Coturnix japonica: one gene and its partners. The main gene of each other region encodes a partner of the protein of the gene in region 5 in a complex. Links are inferred from orthologs where the notes say so. Each region holds a gene or a part of one and is shown on either strand. Other genes may lie near its edges.

What was found.
Region 1: the proteins of RAB11A (region 5) and RAB11FIP3 are in contact, whole or in part, in a crystal structure (PDB 2HV8), measured with the Homo sapiens proteins. The link is inferred for Coturnix japonica from reciprocal best matches to the Homo sapiens genes RAB11A and RAB11FIP3. Residues at the interface, in NP_004654.1 of Homo sapiens: Arg33, Ile44, Gly45, Val46, Glu47, Phe48, Ala49, Thr50, Trp65, Arg72, Arg74, Ala75, Ile76, Ala79, Tyr80, Arg82; in NP_055515.1 of Homo sapiens: Asn731, Phe732, Gln735, Ile738, Asp739, Arg740, Ile742, Val743, Met746, Glu747, Pro750, Ser751, Leu753, Glu754, Val755, Lys756.
Region 2: the proteins of RAB11A (region 5) and SH3BP5 are in contact, whole or in part, in a crystal structure (PDB 6IXV), measured with the Homo sapiens proteins. The link is inferred for Coturnix japonica from reciprocal best matches to the Homo sapiens genes RAB11A and SH3BP5. Residues at the interface, in NP_004654.1 of Homo sapiens: Tyr8, Asp9, Tyr10, Leu11, Lys13, Glu35, Phe36, Asn37, Leu38, Glu39, Ser40, Ser42, Thr43, Ile44, Phe48, Lys58, Gln63, Trp65, Tyr73, Ile76, Ala79, Arg82, Gly83; in NP_004835.2 of Homo sapiens: Asp42, Ile45, Gln46, Leu49, Glu50, Asn53, Thr56, Ile59, Asn60, Glu63, Thr64, Glu67, Lys240, Tyr243, Leu247, Leu250, Glu251, Ile253, Ser254, Asp255, Ile257, His258, Arg261.
Region 3: the proteins of RAB11A (region 5) and RAB11FIP2 are in contact, whole or in part, in a crystal structure (PDB 2GZD), measured with the Homo sapiens proteins. The link is inferred for Coturnix japonica from reciprocal best matches to the Homo sapiens genes RAB11A and RAB11FIP2. Residues at the interface, in NP_004654.1 of Homo sapiens: Arg33, Ile44, Gly45, Val46, Glu47, Phe48, Ala49, Thr50, Lys61, Trp65, Arg72, Arg74, Ala75, Ile76, Ala79, Tyr80, Arg82; in NP_055719.1 of Homo sapiens: Glu478, Ile481, Asp482, Asn483, Leu485, Val486, Met489, Glu490, Pro493, Ser494, Leu496, Arg497, Val498.
Region 4: the proteins of RAB11A (region 5) and RAB3IP are in contact, whole or in part, in a crystal structure (PDB 4UJ5), measured with the Homo sapiens proteins. The link is inferred for Coturnix japonica from reciprocal best matches to the Homo sapiens genes RAB11A and RAB3IP. Residues at the interface, in NP_004654.1 of Homo sapiens: Phe36, Leu38, Glu39, Asp127, Leu128, Arg129, His130, Leu131, Arg132, Ala133, Pro135, Thr136, Leu156; in NP_783322.1 of Homo sapiens: Asn367, Thr368, Leu369, Ser370, Ile371, Glu372, Pro373, Asp412, Arg424, Thr428, Cys431, Asn432, Thr435, Tyr439, Leu444, Val445, Lys446, Gln447, Gln448.

The regions. Positions count from the first base shown.
Region 1 is NC_029529.1:11,456,084-11,459,599, reverse strand, and holds part of RAB11FIP3 (rab11 family-interacting protein 3), read right to left. Parts: intron 1,538-3,516; coding exon 1,444-1,537; intron 683-1,443; coding exon 579-682; intron 1-578. UniProt on the Homo sapiens protein: Downstream effector molecule for Rab11 GTPase which is involved in endocytic trafficking, cytokinesis and intracellular ciliogenesis by participating in membrane delivery. Recruited by Rab11 to endosomes where it links Rab11 to dynein motor complex.
Region 2 is NC_029517.1:38,182,605-38,186,120, reverse strand, and holds part of SH3BP5 (SH3 domain-binding protein 5), read right to left. Parts: intron 381-3,516; coding exon 250-380; intron 1-249. UniProt on the Homo sapiens protein: Functions as a guanine nucleotide exchange factor (GEF) with specificity for RAB11A and RAB25. Inhibits the auto- and transphosphorylation activity of BTK. Plays a negative regulatory role in BTK-related cytoplasmic signaling in B-cells.
Region 3 is NC_029521.1:26,301,614-26,305,605, forward strand, and holds the start of RAB11FIP2 (rab11 family-interacting protein 2), read right to left. Parts: upstream 2,812-3,992; 5' UTR 2,555-2,811; coding exon 2,202-2,554; intron 1-2,201. UniProt on the Homo sapiens protein: A Rab11 effector binding preferentially phosphatidylinositol 3,4,5-trisphosphate (PtdInsP3) and phosphatidic acid (PA) and acting in the regulation of the transport of vesicles from the endosomal recycling compartment (ERC) to the plasma membrane.
Region 4 is NC_029516.1:32,272,512-32,276,027, reverse strand, and holds part of RAB3IP (rab-3A-interacting protein), read right to left. Parts: intron 417-3,516; coding exon 288-416; intron 1-287. UniProt on the Homo sapiens protein: Guanine nucleotide exchange factor (GEF) which may activate RAB8A and RAB8B. Promotes the exchange of GDP to GTP, converting inactive GDP-bound Rab proteins into their active GTP-bound form.
Region 5 is NC_029525.1:16,462,714-16,465,179, reverse strand, and holds the end of RAB11A (ras-related protein Rab-11A), read right to left. Parts: intron 2,236-2,466; coding exon 2,096-2,235; 3' UTR 517-2,095; downstream 1-516. UniProt on the Homo sapiens protein: The small GTPases Rab are key regulators of intracellular membrane trafficking, from the formation of transport vesicles to their fusion with membranes.

The DNA of each region.
Region 1 (3,516 bases), on a different chromosome or scaffold from region 5:
AAGCCATTCTTCAACCAGCAGCGAGTACAAGGCTTGATTAAAAGCCGGCTGACACTTCTGGGCCAAGCTGCTAAAGTGAAAACATTCCCCTCCGCTGCAGAGTTTATCAGGGCTTAGAGAAACCTTTGTTTGAATCGCTCGGTTCCATGACACAGCTGTTACTTAACAGCCTTACAGCCCTATAGATAACTCCTGGAGGGTTTATCTGCGGGTGTAAATATGCTGCTGGAGCCTGCCAGCTCGGGGAGGGCAGCCATCAGTTACCGTGGGATCCACAGGGCTGCAGCGGGGGCTGAAAACATCGGGGCTGGGGCTGTGATAGGGCAGAGCAGGCACAGACTGTGCTGCACATCCACCTGAGCAGAGCTCTCCAGGAGACACCAACCTGCAGCCCCCCAAGCCAACCCCTGGGGCCGCACAGAGAGGTGGGCACACAGGGAAATACCCACAGAGCTCCGTATTTGCATTCAACTGAGCAGAATATTTGCACAGAGAGAGTCCAGGGCATTTGCCCATGACCCTAAAAAGCTCCCATGGAACCTGATGATCCTGCAGGAGAGCCTGGCCAGCTCCTTTACCTGTGCACCAGCTGCAGGTTCTCCTGCTTGAGGCGGCTGTGCTGCTCGCCATTGGCAGCCGTGTCCTTCTCCAGCTCCGTCACCCGCTTCTCCAGAAAGACCACCTGGGTGGGAGAGAGGCACAGCTCAGCACAGACCCCCAGCAACAGGCAGAGCATTGCTCCCAACCCCCCCTCAAAGCAGAAGCCACCCACAAGGGGATGGCAGCCAGGCTTTTGCTCAGGTCCTATGCTTTACAGTGCCCTGGTTTCCCATGTGTCCCAAGTAGAAACATGCCTCCCTGCTTCATTCCTTCATAACAAGATGCTACAGCAATGCCCAGAGCAAAGCACCCCGGCTGGGTCTCATCCACAACCATGCACAAACAAAGCAGCCAGCAGCACATCAGCAGAACCTGAGCCACCGTGCTGCTGTGCTGGGGAAGCAGGCAATTGATGCTGCAAACAGCCACATATACACTTCCCTTTCCCACACAGCTCCCTGCTCCTGACTGCACAGCTAAAAAAAAGCCATTTTGAAGGAGTTTTGTGGCTGCAGCAAACATTTACTCAAGGCAGAGCTCACTCATCTTTCACTTTCCATCTTTCCCCTTGCTATTCTTAACCAGGGGTGCTTCAACAACAGCCTCCTGGTCCTCCTTGCTTTACCATCCCACAAGGACCAGCATGAAGATGCTGTCACCTGCAAGCAGGTGGCACGCTGACCCCAGAGACAGGGCTCTTTGCATAGGGACAGAGGGCACCCAGGTTATGTCCTCCTCATTCAAAGCAGTAAGAGAAGCTTCAGCCCAGCCCTGGCCCATCCATCCCAAAGCCCTTCATGCCACCGATGAGTGCCATTTGGGCACACACAGCCTTGCTCCTACCTTGTCCGTGATGTCCTCTTCTGTGCACTCCAACGTGTCCCGGTAGGACTCCTCCATCGCCCCTCCAGACAAAGTGCTGGTCTGGTGCAGCTGTCTGTAACACAGCAAAGCCACCCCAACCCACAGCAGGGCGACCATCAGGGCCATCATAGGCAGGCAGAGCGACTCCAGCTGACAACACCCACACGATGCAGCCCCTCTCCCTCCCCCCCAGCTGCCACCTCCTTCCCTGGTGCTGGCAGAGCACTGCTCCTCATCAGGCAGCCTCTTACCAGAGCCCCAGCAGCAGCGTGCAGACGTGGACACATGCTGCAGGGACTTCACACTGCGATCATCTGCACTCGGTCTTTGGAATAGGAGATAAGAGCCCCCGCTTTTCACTTTCTCTCTTTAAGAACATGTGTCATCCACCAAAGGACGGAGTACTCTGCCCTTGCCACTGATAAAGTGAACTGCTGGGGGCAGTGGATGGGAAGAGAAACAGAACCCTGAGCTTGTTGGGAAACAACCATCTCAGCTGAGCCACAGATGAGAGCAAGCTAATCATTAGCCAGGCCTTGCGACATTGGTGGTCACAGCTCTGTATGCACCTAAGGACACTGCCCAGCTCTGATTGGTGCTAATTGTGCCACCACTGCAATTAACTCCATCGCTGTGTGGCACCAGCAGAGCTGGTTGTTGTAGTGCAGCCCTATGGACCCAGGATGCTGCCTGGAGCAAAGCACGGCTGTTCCCATTGCAATGTGGGGTCAGAGCCTGGTACCCGCAGGGCTCACACACACACACAGGGTCTGCCAGCAGTGGGGTCAGCTCAGGTTAAGTGACACATGCCCACGGTTTGGGCAGTCCCCTTCCCTCCCTATAAAGGGCAGTGGGTGTTTCCCTGCCCTCCCACCCCCATCCCATGGATCTCTGCTGTCCCTCTGGGACCCAGACAGGCTGGCCAGGCTTTGAAACCAGCGCTGCTTCAAGCAGGAGGAGAGCAAGAGGTCTCTTCAAACCTAAATTATCCACTGATTATGTCATCTGGGCTCTGAAACTCACCCTGCTACACAATATGCTCATGCAAATATTCATGAAGCGTGGCTGGCATTTACTGAAGAGACCACAGCTGAGTACCAGCCTTGTTTTGCTTCCTTGCCCTGGCTACATATTTAGATTCTGAAGTCTTGGGCACATTTGTCATTTAAATCGTGCCAAGCACAACAGGGCCCGAGCAGCAGAGATTTCTTGGCACAAGCAAAACACAGGGAACAAAAGTCATGGAAAGAGCCCTGACCAAAATAAAACCTACTTCCCATAAGCAAACATTACGCTGTAATTATACGACCTGCAACAAAGAGTTTTGGCTGATCTGAAGGAGCTGGCTCTTCTTTGTGGTTACCATGCAGGGCTCCCCATGGGGTTAACTTGAATCCTGCCCTCTGCTCTGCCAGGCAGGGGACAGAAGGTGATCCTGATACAGGAAGCATGGGACAGCCTGCTCCCTTCTGCCTTCTTTCCTGCCCGTGTTTTTAACAAAGGTCTCCAAAGTGAGACAAGTGGAAGGAGGAAATTTAATATCAAAGCCTCGCTTCCTTTCCAGGAGGACAGATTTGCTGATCACAGGAAAAATTGGGAAGGGCAGGGCGAGATGATGAGGTTTAGGGCAGCTCCTGAATGCTTGGATTGCTGCACACCATGCACTGGAGCACGGGGCTGCTGGAGTCTGTGTGTTTAGAGGGAGCATTGTGACTTCTGCAGTGCCCACCCCCTGCTTGGAAAAGGGCAAAGGGAAAGGCAAAGACTTTGGAGGGCAGCGTTCCTCCCAAGCAGGACAGGACAGAGAAGGGTCACCTTGTGAATAAAAGCAGGACATGGGAAGACGGTGCAGCCAGCAGAGGAGAGAGGGGTGCATGGAGACAGGACGGACCCCGGAGCAAAGTGCTGCCTTTCCTGGGCAATCTGAGATAAAAACACCCACCAGGCAAGGGCAGCTGGTACATGAACAAGCCTTAGGACAGTCCCACAGGGCAGAAAAAGCAATGTAACAGGAGGGCTACCTGTGGCTGCCCCCAGAACTCACCCTGACCT
Region 2 (3,516 bases), on a different chromosome or scaffold from region 5:
TTGCAGCTTCAGGGTTTTGTTTTGTTGTGTTTTTTCTTCTGTTTAATCCCATATGCCTCGTTCTCAAGTCACTCATTACGGAAGATTTCAGTGCACTAAAACACAACTAAGAATACACCCAGGAAACTTCTCTAGTACAATTTGTGCTGCAAAGGACAACATCTTTTCACAGGTTTCCAAAATCCCACAGAATCCCCTGTCCCATGAACAGACTTGACCACTAAACTCATCTCCAAGTGTGAAACCTACTTTGATTTATTGATGGCTCTTTTCAGCTTCTTTTCCAGCTGCTTCATCCTCCCCATGGCAGCATTGTATTTGGCTGCGGTCTCCTTGTGAACCAACTCACTTCTTGTCTTGGTTTGTTCTGCCTCCATGACCTGTAAGAAGGAAAACAGAGGTTGAGGGGCAAGACCCAAGCATCCATTTCTTACCATTTTTATTAACATTATATCTACAATCTCTCAAATTAGGAAGGGGCTGAAGATGAACCAGAGGGATAAGAAGACAGCATGCAGTTCAGCCTGTCCCCTCTATCTGAAGCACCAGCTACCAGAAAGCAGCCCATCCAATGAGACAGCCTTTGTCATAGAATCCATGAAGGCTGGAAAGACCACTCAGATCATCTAGTCCAGCCATCAACCCATCACCACCATACCACACTATTCAGTGTTATATCTATCCTTTCCTTGAGCACCTATAGGGGCAGTGACTCCACCAGCTCCCCTATAGCCTGTTTTGCAGAAGACAAGGAAGCTGCCTTTCCTCTTGAAAGAGACAGCCAGCCTCAAATCGTGACTTCAACATCAAAAAAGCTTTGGGCCATGAACTGGTCCACTACAATGCAGGTGGGGAGCATTATGCTGAAGATCAGCCCCTAACCAGGGCAGGCAGATGCCTAAGGCACAGCAGTCCCATTGGCTGCCCTGCCAGCATCCTACAGTCATGTTTTCCCAGTAATTCTGTCTACGGTACTTTCATTTTGCAGATTTGAGCTGCCTGAGGCACCAGAAAATCTGTTTTCTCTAATGCACTGGCAGACAGGATTTAGCAAGAGACAGAACTGATTTGTTTAAAGGAATAGAAGTGGTGACACCTCTCCATTGGTCTGACAGTAAGCAGAAAGCAGGCGGTCTTCAGGCATCCCTTGTTTCAACCCTGAAAGTATTCACAGAAAAATGCCATGGGCCAAATCTGCACTACATCCCCATCAGCTGGAAGGTCGGCTGCCAAACTGGAGGCCACAGTTACTCCTCTGCACTCACCACTTGTTATTACACCAAAGTTGCTATCTGTGAACTAAAAGATCTGATTACACATATACTACGACAACCTTCAACTGCTTCACATGTGAATAAGGCATCCACATTTGAAGTTTAAAAAATAAGAAAGAAATCTGATTGATAGCAGACATTCCCCTGAATCCCAGAAACAAGTTATAGCCTCTCATCTTGAAGTCTCAGAAAGCAAGGTTGATGCAAAGACCTTCCCTGGTGAAATATGCCAGCCAAGGCTGGTTTTAGCATGGAACTGACATAAATTAGAATGCGGTCTCCAAGGACTGCACAAAACCTGGTTTGCTCCTTTGTAGTGTGGCAAGGCAACCGCAATTTACAAATGCTGCAAGCTACAGAATAATAGAGCAACTGAAACGTGCTGATTCTTAATTAAATGCCAATCCTTGCCATCCATTCTTGGGGTGAAATCAGCATGGGATCAACCACTTCAGCACTATCAGCACCATGGTCTTCTAACAGGTGAGGTGTTCTGCCTCTCGTGGACTTCACACATCTTTCACATCAAACACCATAAAAATGCTTCATCCTGCAAGACAGATTTGGGGATGACAGATTGTAAACACCTCAAACTATGTGACAAAATACGGAATTTGCAGCCAGATATCTACGCCCACATTTGTTACCCTTTTTGGAAGGGAAAAAAAAGCTGCATACTTCATCTCCCTGGGAAATCAGCATTGGGAGGCAAGCTTCTCCTCCTGCTGTGTGGCTCTTATACGGTCATGCTACCAGCCTGCTCACATTACCCAAGTGCTCTGCCCAAGGGAGTACAGCTCACAGTGTGTTCGCTAGGCTGAAGACATGGACGTGATCCTACAGCACCTGGAAGGCTGTTCCACATCAGTATCACCACAGAGAGCTGCCTCCTGTCAGGATGTATTTAAACCTTTCACCCAGTCAAGAAGAAACAAAAAGGTCATCTGCTTCTTCACGGAAGCAGAACAGCGCCTTAACATAGAATCTGTCTGCCAGGACATGTGGATAGAAACAGCCTAGGTTCTACTCTAGGCAAGTCAGTGAAAACCCTCAGCTTTTAAAAAGGTCTTAGTAGAGGACAGATGAAGTTTGTGTGGGGGAAAAGCATCAAACAAGTTTTTGGTCACACCATCTGAATACGCTTCTTTCTAATGTAAGACAGTGCTTCTACCGACAAACCTTGCCAAGGCCATCACAGATGCAAGATCATCTCCTTCAAAAAGCCAGAGACAAGAGTGAAGATGACACCTGCTCATAGGTATCAATCACTTCCTCTTTCCTCATCTACCCTCTGTTTCCAACCCAGATGCCATGGAAAGGAGGGTCAGTACAAAATATATATATCTAGCAAATAGGTCTGCGCAAGTGGCTTTGTCCCTCTCAGCCAAGAAATCTTCATCAGCTGAGGTCAAAGATGGACTTCAGGCAAATTTCAGCAATAGCAGCTGCAAAAGAAACATTTGCCAGTGAGATTTAACAAACCTGATCATCTGAGCCAGAGAATTACTCTGGACATCTGTTTCTTTCTCTAAAAAATTAAATGGGCGACTCTTCTAGAAGAAGAAATAAAAGAGGTAAGACAGATAACGCAACACCAGGAAACCAGAAGGGCAGAATCAATAACACAAGGGATAAAGATAGTAGAGGGAAGAATGTAAACACTGTTTGACTTCCATGGTGAAAAGATGGAGAGATAAGAACAGAGAAAGTTGTGGGTATCCCTGTTGCTTATTCCACAGCTTCCTTCCCCCCTTTTTCTCCAAGTGGTTCTACCTGCAGGAAGTCTCTTTTCTCTCCACATCATGAAAGCTCCCACGCATTTTACACCAACAGATGGTACTTCATGGTGTAATAGCAAAAGGAGCTTTGCAAGCCAAATTAAAGCAAGAGGGAGCAAGCCTTCTCCCTCCTTCCTTCCCCCCCACCCTTTCCTTTTTAAAACGTCTAGTGATCAAGAGCCAAAACATGTCTTCTCCCTGCCAGAATTTTTCAATGGAACATACCTCACAAAAGACTGCAGATTGCTCTGGCAATTAGAAATCAGCAAGATCTCACGCAGGATCTTCTTTTCTGCTCCAGTTAGTCTCAAACTTCAGGTAATATTCTGTCAGCTCTTTTCTTTTGGATGCATTTATATCCAAGAATGACCTTTACATAATTATAAATGCAAAGATCTCTGCCCCTCATCCCTCCTTTCACTGGCCACCTGTGCCACCAACTCCAGGTACCGACAGACAGGGAA
Region 3 (3,992 bases), on a different chromosome or scaffold from region 5:
AGCCTCCCAAGGGGGCCCAACCTCCTGCAGTATGGCTCACGGGCAGCTCGGAGAGCCCCAGCAGGTTCTGTAGCAGCCTGGGGAGGCATCACTTCACATTCATGCAGCATGAGCTCTTCTCTCACACTTCAGAGAAAGAAAGAATAAAGAACACATATGAAACCACACTAAACAAAACTTCCTATTAAAACATACTGACAGGCTTTGCATATTTACTTCACTGCAACAAGCACTGCGTCTATTCTGCCAGTCACACCTTTTTTGTGATGGTTTTGTAAGAACTCCAGCAACACTTTTAGTAAAATTGATGCTAAGTGTATGATTCCCAAAGGAAAACATTATTCATAGTAATACATGAATAATTTACTTATTTTCGTCCAGCTTGTGAACAGACATTTTCATCTACGTTGACTAAGTTTTTACTTTTAGTAGCGTTTTTATGTTCTTCAGTCACCTTTTTCCTGCAGAGCAGTAAGGTGTTTAACCTAAAGCAGTTGTCTACTGACTTGCAAGATAATTACAACTGATGATTAAAGAGTACTTAAGATCCATGTCTAAAGAGCACTGAAACTTCTTGAACCCAGTGTAAACAGAAATTAAGAGCCTAAAGCTACAGGCATTACCACATATTGCATAAAGAGAACTACTGCTGTTGGCCTGCCATTAAAAAGATAAGCAATTAAAAAGTATATTAGTTCACACTACAAACCCACAAGAGACTCTGTAAGGATGCTTTGCTCTCTTGTATATGTGTGAACATATCATTTTGCTAGTAAATTAAAGGGGGGGAAAAAAAGAAAAAGAAAAAAAGAAAAGCAATCCAAAGACTGCTTTGACCTGCCTTCAGTGCTCCTTCAACCTCAACCACCACCGCACATAAGCAGAGCCAGGTTTTGGGATGGCTTTCAGGCACTGATCAGCATGATCTGGCTAATACTGCTGCACTGACTGCTGTCTCCAACTGTCTGCTCTGACTCTGCTGGAGGTTGACGCCTGCACAGCGCAGTCAGCAAAAGATAAATGATGCCAGAGTCTTAGTCACTTTGATGCAAAGTCCAGCATCTTACCGTAAACCCACCACAGCGAACACAAGAAATACCAGACTTATACAGTTTTAACAGCTGAGGTTTGGGCACAGGATCCCTTCTACTCAACAGATGAGATATTAACCTCTAGAGGAGAGAAGTAAAGACACCTGGGCATTAACTTTTAACCACTGCAGAATACCTGTGTCTACACACAACTAGCCTAGAAGTCTCCATGCTATTCTTGTGCTACTTCTGTGGGCCACATCTACCTACAACAAACAGTACCAGGCATACAAACAGTACACTTACAGCTATACAGTTTATTCCCACAAACTTTGAAGGATAAATTACACTGGTACCAAATATCTTTGTGCAACCATATCCTCACCAGAGATGCTAACCATTTTACTAGTTAAGTTGAGAAACATACACAAAAAAAACCCCATAACAGTTTGACACATTTACCGTTCAGCCTAATACACTGCTGTGATACTTTTATTTTTTGTTTTCTTGAATTCTAGTGTTAGAATTTGCTGGCAAATGACAATTGTGATGATTCTGTATGTAATGATGGAGGCTACTACAACAGCAGCACGTTCTCTTCTGTCTTCTCCGCAGAGGCCTGATATAGCAAGGATCACGGCCTAGGACTAATCAGGATCAGAAAAGCACTGCACTGCTGTGGCAAGCCTTCATAAGTCACAGTTCAGTGGCCACTAAAACATAAATTAAAGAATATTTAAAGACACTTGGATGCAGGTGTTGATGAAAAGCATTTTTAGGACGAAGGACATCAGGCTTCAAGAGAGACTGAATCTTACGCATGGTTCAAACTGGGGCACATGTTGAATGGGGATATTGCCTTGAGCGGATGGAGAAAAAAAATCATTAGAAATACAGATTGCAATGAGTTCACATTGTACACAATAATCTGTCAAAGAATGTTCATGTATTGACCGCCCTACCCTGTGCAGAATAACCGCTGTGATTACAGAGAACTTCTCAGTCCCTAATGACACAACTGTATGTGCCTGGGGCTTTGAACACCATAGAAGATAGAAATGTCCCAATTTCATTTCCAAATACTTTGATAACAAGACTTCCATTTCTGCCCTCCTCCAAAGTACAAAGCAAACAGGCCACAGTTAAAGCAAAGAAACAACTATCACTTACTCTGTTTTCCTTCTTTGCTTGTCCTCAAAAACATCGTTCAGATTTACGGCCACCTGTCCCAGGAACTTGTCCAGCCCCACCAGTGACCTGTGCATGACAATCAGGTACAGGATGTATCTGTCTGGGTTCTCCTGCATCAGCAATCCAGGCAGCTCGAAGGAGGCCTCTTCCTTCCAGACCGGATCCAGGGTCTTCTCAGCTACAGAGGTGGAGTACTTCTCCTTGCCCAGCTGGATGATGGTGTACGCATCGTTGGTGCCACTTTTGCCTTTGGGCTTCAGACCTTTGGCTTGAAGAACCGTGACTTGCACGTGAGTTGGGAACCACTTCTGGGCTTGCTCTGCCAGCATCATCTTTGAAGCTCTCCGCAGCAGCAATAACCAAAACAAAGTCTCTAAGTCTTCAAGTTACTGCGTAAGGGCACTTACAGCGGAGGCACCTGCCACCGACCCCGGGTGAGCACTTCTCTCAGGAGGCACCGACCACCGCTCAGGTCTCCCCCTCCCAAGGCAGCCCTGCGGGTGACTCCATCGCTACAAGGCTCCCGGTTTCTCGGCCGGCCCCGCCGCCCTTCCCGGCACAGCCCCGTGCCGCCCCCGGCCCGGTTCCCCGCCGCCCCCAGGTCATCCCCAGGCCCACGGCCCCTCCGCCCGGCCCGACGCGCCGCAGCCCCCCGTAGCAGCGCGGGCCCCGCAGGCCTCCCGGCCTCTTACGCTCCTCAGGGCGGCGGGCAGCGCGGAAGGGGACCGCGCTCGCCGCCGCCCCGCTCCGCTCCGTGCTGCCCTCCCGCTCCTCAGCCTCTCGCCGCGCTCCCCCCGCACCGCCCGGCCTCACGGGCCGGCTCCGCCGCTTCCGCCTTCCCCATGCTGCCGGCGGCGGCAGCGGCGGCGGTCAGAGGGCAGAGGGCAGGGTTCGCCTCCTCCCCGCGGCCGCCGGGCGGGCGGTGCTTCCCTTCCTTTCCTTTCCCTTCCTTTCCCCTTCCCTTTCTCCCGGCGGCGGTGCCCGGCTGGGGCGGAAGGGAACGGGAGGCATGAGGCTGAGTTCCGCCTGAACGCAGCGGCTCCCTTCGTTCAGAGCTTTGTAGATAGGAGGGAGAGCTCTGCGCCTCTCCACGCCGCCCCGTCTCCGTGAGCGCCGAGGGAAGGAGCCCCTCGTACACAGGCCGCGGCCGCTTCGGGCTGGTCCAGCTCGGGCCCTTGTCCTGGTGCAAACCGCCTGTGGAAGTTATGGAACTTGTTTTTTTACCCACCCCACCCTGACCATTCTGTTTGATTAAAGTGAGGGTGTGAAAACAGCTCTCTTGTGTGCACTTCTGTGGAGTCGATGCACACATATATATGCAGCATTAAGCAGAGTGACAGACACAGCCTCAGTGCTACCCAAAAACCTGCGTGCAGTGAGGGTTGAAGGCTCTGTATCCCATCATGTAACCCACAGCAAGCAGAGAACCAAGCCTCATCATCCTCCCCTTACACGTCCCCAGCCCTGGCTCGTGGGTTAGTGAGCAACAAACGCTTGGGAAACCTTCTCCTGCTGCTCTGAGCTACAGGAAATTAAAAAGTTAAAGTTGAAGGCCATTAGGGAGAGTAAAGTAAGATGTTGCCCGCACCACATAACGCTGAGCGAGTTATTGTCTGAGGTCAGGTGAGGTTGGGGATCACTGCTCGGCACACAGTCATTAGTTTCCCTTTACAGGCTGAGTCCAAGCTCATGTTATCTTTAACAATTTAAATAACTACTTGGATGACCCTTAAGTTTTGACTGTGAGCTGGATATTTGTCTGCATGCTCC
Region 4 (3,516 bases), on a different chromosome or scaffold from region 5:
GGGGAAAACTCATCACTCCTTCCTACAAACACTTACTCTGATAGGCAGTATTAACACAGAAAGAGGTAGACAGCCTCCACCTAAGAAAGCCACATCTAAAATAGGAAATGGAAAAGAAAAACTGATCACTTCAATACTCCAGACCAAACTTGGGTATTTCACTGTAAACTTTCATACTCCGGTGAAACAAAAATGTTTGAACTTCATACGTAAATTAAGATAGTCTACTGGTTCCATGTAACATATTTAAATAAAAAGCATCAGTGACAACACTTAAGAGTACATACCTCACTTTTTGAGAAGGTTAAACATGGAAAAATATCTTCCCGATAGATTTTGTCCAAGAATGGGCATGTTCTGTCCATAGTAGGCTCATCCTTCCATGATCTGAATTCATTGTACAAAGACAGGTCAGCCTAAAACACACAGAGTCGCAGATTTTAAATACTGTAATTATCACACTAGCAACTGGCCATCTACAGGTATCCACAGGTAAACAGTGATCATTAAAACTCAGTTTTCTACCACGCTGTAGAAGAATACTATTATATCCCAGCAACAAACACCTTCAACTCACTTTCCCAAGATGCGTGGTACCACCTTGATTTAGCCAAACTGGCTTTGAGATTGTTGACACAGACTTCAGCACCTTTTCACTCCAACTGGCTGTTAAATCCTATTCTTGTATTGTAATAGGTTTGTATTCCTAAAACCAAAAGGGAATACAATGAAGGGAAAGACACTGCAGGCCAAACACAGGCCAGGAAGGTTAGAGGCATCAAAGACCACGCAACAAAAGGAAGAAAATGTCATGTAGAAAAAGTGCCTCTAGAAATGGCAGGCAGTCATGGAGAATAAAGAAAAAAAAACACTAAATGCGCAGCCAAAGCACAGAAGACAAACAAAAAGGTTACTAAAGTGGAAAAATGAGAAGCAGATCCTAATGCTGCTCCCTCTGCGGGCTTCTTAGGTTGCTGCTCCACTCCAGAGTACAAAGAGAAGCAAAGTGAATGCAAAAAGAGCAAACAAGAATGAAAAGCGGTATTTTGGAAGAAAACATTTTCAAGAAAACACTAGACATATAAATACTGCTTTCATAATATGTATCTCCATAAAGCCAATGTGACTTGAAAGTCTTGGAATATCAGAAGCAACTAATACAGACAGGAGCATGAAAAAATGAACACATACGCTAGGAGCTGAAACTGTTTTTTAATCCATTTTAAAAGAGCAATACACTGCTTTGAACCAGCCTCTTTGGGTCTTTTATTCTTTACCACCCCTTCTCTGAGTTTCCAGCACTTAACCATTCTTTTACATTTCAGGAAGATTTTTTATGGCTTTTTTCCCCTCCCCCTCCCTCCTTGAAAAAGAACCCACAAAAATTAGACAGGCAAATTTGTTTTCCATTAGAGCTACTTGTCTTGCACTCAGGTACAATCAGGAACAACCATCTTAATTAAACTAGTCCATAACTGTTCTGGTTGCTAAGCCACCAACCTCACTGCACAAATGAAACTCAATAGGTGTAACTTGCTCCCTGAATGAACATTTCCTATACCTTAAAACCCACCTAGGTTTGGCTTTAAAATAAATACAACCACGAGACATCAGCAGGAAAAAAACCCGCTATTTTAGAACTAGACAGCAGAAATCAAGTGGTAATGCATTTCTTAGTAATTACTGATTATTTTCTACATCTAACAAAACTTCACCCAAATATACAATTTATAAAAAAAAAAAAAAAAAGCTGCCTTGAAAAAATTGCTCAATAACTATAGCTTGATGTTCCTTCTTTCCAACCTACAGTGTGCTATGTGTATATCTGCACTCTGTCTTTACTTGCACTTCCACTAGATCCAAGTTCTTATTACCTGCAACAGAGAAACACTTCAGCTTTTGGGAGAATAACATAAATCAACTGACACATTTAGCTTTTACATTGGGTATAGATGCTCAGTTTATCTAAATCCTGTTCATGAATTCTGAATTAGTTAGACACATCCACTTATCCTTGAGGTTACTCGTGCATAATAGGAACTATCTGTCTGGGATGTTGGTACTGTTGGGATGGATTTCCTGCAGTTTATCCTTTACACATTGACCACTTTCTTTCCATGGGAAATTGAAACAAAAACAGATTTTTCCCTCTTCATGCTCTTGGCCCAATATTTAAAACCTTTATTTAGTCAAATCCTCAATATGATGCTTACAAAGTAGTTAGATTCCATGCCAGTTCTCCCCTTTTTGTTAAATCTTTCTGAAGAGCAAGAAGATCAATTTAAATAAGAAAAATATCCTGAATACCACTGAAAGTAAGTAAGCAGGATTTTGGGTTGTTGGATTTTATTTTATCACTGGAAACATAACAATCCCTTCTCTAGATCTTTAATGAAAAGACAGATAGTATAAATTCACTTAATGATGACTGACAAAACAAAGTATAAAAATGACCATTGTAAATCATATTACAGGTCTAGTTAGCTCATCAGTCTCTCTAATGACCTGCAATGACTGAGGGCTGCCTGTAAACAGCATAGAAGAAATATAGCCATGTGCATTCCTTATATGTTCTCCCAACTTCTAGCAATTTGTAATTAAATAAGCTTCCTGATCCAGAAATCATGTGTATTTGTATGTACCTCAATGGGCTTTTCTGTTGCAACTTCGCATAATTTTCAACACTGTTTTCTGTCCTGTTGTCACTTTGTGACAATTAGTTATTAGATTTAGTTATATACTGACTAAAAATGATTTTCCTTCTAGTTTCCAGAGTGTTCTCATTACAGGAAATAATTACTACTGGCTCACCATTCATCTTCTCCATGTCACTTGCGATCATATACATTTTTGTCCTGCTTTCAGAAAGTCTCAACATAAAGAGCCCTAGTCTCCCTAGGGCTCTCCCTAGTCAGAGAAAGACTTTGATCACCCATCACATTTATTTGCATTTTTTACTGTTTTATTTCAGAGATGGAAGTACAGCTGCGTGCAAAACAGGATGCACATATTTACTCCATGTTTATAAAGCAGTATCATTCTTTTTTCATTTATTCCTTTCCTAACAAGTCCTAAGGGTTTGTGGATCTTTGACCATCACTAAGCACTGACATAGTACCTCAAGAGAATTATCCACAAGCACACTACATTTTTTTCTTCATCATGTAGCCTACTCTAAGTCAAAAAACTGCATATGCCTGCTAGAGCTGCATTTTATTTTCCAGATACATCATTTCTCATTTATTTATTTTGAATTTCACCTGCAGTTTCACTACTCATTCACCATCAGGACATTCAGCCTTGTCACAGCTCTTAGATTATTTTCACCAAGCTGCTGCCTCCGTATTTCCCCATTCTTAATGGCATGAGAAGATAAACCCAAGGCCCTCAAAGGACTCCCTCCTATTCTCTAACAATCTACCATTGATTCAGTTTTTCCTCCACTCTCTTTCAATTTCCTCTCTTCCTCTTTTCCTGTGGCAACTGGTGCCAGATTTGGAAAAAAAATAAAAATAA
Region 5 (2,466 bases):
CCCACTTTATACCTTGTCTTGACTCTGGCAATACCGAGGCCCAAAAGGCCTGTTCAGGCAGAAGGATTCAGTGCTGCCACGTGCTCTTGAGGTGACTTCCAAAACTCACAGTGCTCAGCAGGCTGGCTCCTATGGCACCACTCCTCCAGCAGAAGGCAACCAGGTAGGATCAAACAGCTGAAATAGTTTGTTGTAGAAGGCAGCAGTCTGTCATTCCATAGGATTTATTTTTTTTTACTGGTGGTAATGTGGAAAAATGAGGTTTGTAAAAGCTATTCAGGGATTTGGTAAGACAGAGTCCTCATTCTTCACACCATAAAGGCAGCCCAAAGCAGCCAAATTGTCATGCTAAAAGCTGCAGGCCTGGTCCCAGCATGTAGCCCTTCCAGTTCCCCTTCTGGGAGTACTTCCACTTTGGTGTGTCCTCCCGGTTCCAAGAAATGGTACTAGTTGCTAACAAGTAAAAACATTAAAGTCAAATCCCACTTCTCCCAAAAAGCGCACCCAACACCATGCTGAGTTGTCCCCTGTAATTCTTTATTAGAATCATGGATGAATATATTTTAAATCAATCTAAAAAAATAATGAATCAAGTTACAGTACATGCATAAAATACAAAGTAATTTACAAACAGATCGAAAGTAGCATCTTCAGAACTAATATTAGGAGGAGAAATGGATTTAAAAACAAAAAAAAAAGTGACCGACTACAGCAATGCCTTCCGTGTGCCTTACACATCATGAGCACCGCAAGACAGAAAGGTTGGGTAAGAAATGCAGCTGGTAGTGCCTACCCAAATCCGGATGTTCTAAGTGGGTCATATCAGAGTTTGAGAAACGTCCCCTACAGCCAATTACTTCCTCTAATTGTACAGATAACAGCCAGCATTTATACAGACAGTTCTTTTAAATCCAGTAGAACCGCAGTGCTGGTAGCCCCCACATCTCGGCGTTAATGGCGCGGCTGGGAATAGCACGTACTGTGTGATACGCAGTGGTTTCAGAGTGCAGCGACAGAAGGCACAGTTCATGGATCCCTGAACTAAGTGAGCAGATGAGTTGGGCTGAGCGATAATCACCAAATGAATGCATCCAGTAACTACTCCAGATGTTTGTTGTTACAGAACATGTACCAGACCACTGGTATCATTTAAAAATACTGGATGAAAGAGAACTGAAAACTAAGACCAGGTTGTAGCAGTTACTGACTGATCAACTTGAGCATCTGAATACCTTAATGTGTGTGGCACGTACTGATATGCGATAGGCAATATGTGACAGCATCCTTCAAGTCTGTGTATCATGAAAGAAAAAAGGCATCCTCAAGCCCTGACAGCACTGGCACTGTGGAGGCTGAGCCTCAGGCAGCACAAACACACACTGCATGTTCCCGTGACCCTCAGTGACACACACAGCTTCACAAAGGCAGCTCACGTGAGTCCCACCAGCGCCTGCAGCAGCCCTGCCTGCACCGCAGCCCCCTGCAGCAGGTGCCAAACCACAAAAGCTCATTCACTGGGAGCAAGAACCCTGCTGCTTGTTTGAGAGAAATTCTTGCTCACTCCCCCCCAACCCCTCCTCCCCCAGGCTATTCTATAGCAAGATCTCCTCTTGACAGTCTGAAGATGTAGCCAAAGACATTTAACTTCACATTAAAATTGCACTTCAGAGCAACAGGCGTTCCATCAAGCTTTAGATGCAGTATACAACACCTTAAGACAAAGACAGATTATCCTGCCCAGAGATATTCTCCTAGTTAACCTGACAATAATTGTTTTGCAAGGAGCAGAATTACATCTTCGAGTGCTCACTAAATGTATCTTGTGTTCTGACTAGCGGGCATCACGCTGCAAAGAGATCAGTTCAGCTCCAAACTATTTACTGAACCAAAATCAACAAGTCAGCGTTGGGAAAATACTGCAGCCACATAGAAGCAATAGATTATAAACACAGAAATCAAAGTGTTTAAGACATGGAGAAATTCAAAAGGAATAAGCAGTAACAGAACACAAGAAAGTAACCACAAGAATTACAAATATATTTAAATCTTGGACCTGGGGAATATACACAGCCTTTTAGGAAAGAGTGAACAATTCTTATATATTCTGACAGCACTGCATCTTTGGTTTGTTTTCGGTGGTTGGAGGGACATGAATGGGAACCACATTGTTGCTTGGAGACATATCATTCTCACGTCTGTCGGACATTTGCTTCTGGGAAACAATACGATAGATCTCTGGAAGATGAGAAAGAGCCCATCGTTACGTGCATGCAGAGCAACATCAGAAAGCAAACATCTTTGCTTTCTGCAATTCTTGGCTTCCCCAGATTTCCCACACTTCTGCAATGATAAGCACAGCAGCTTTCACAAGAAGTTCAAATGTGATGCCTTCTGTATTTATAAATTAAATATAAACCATCTTTGCAAAACACATTTCTTTCACAACTGCTTTACCACAAGCAATAA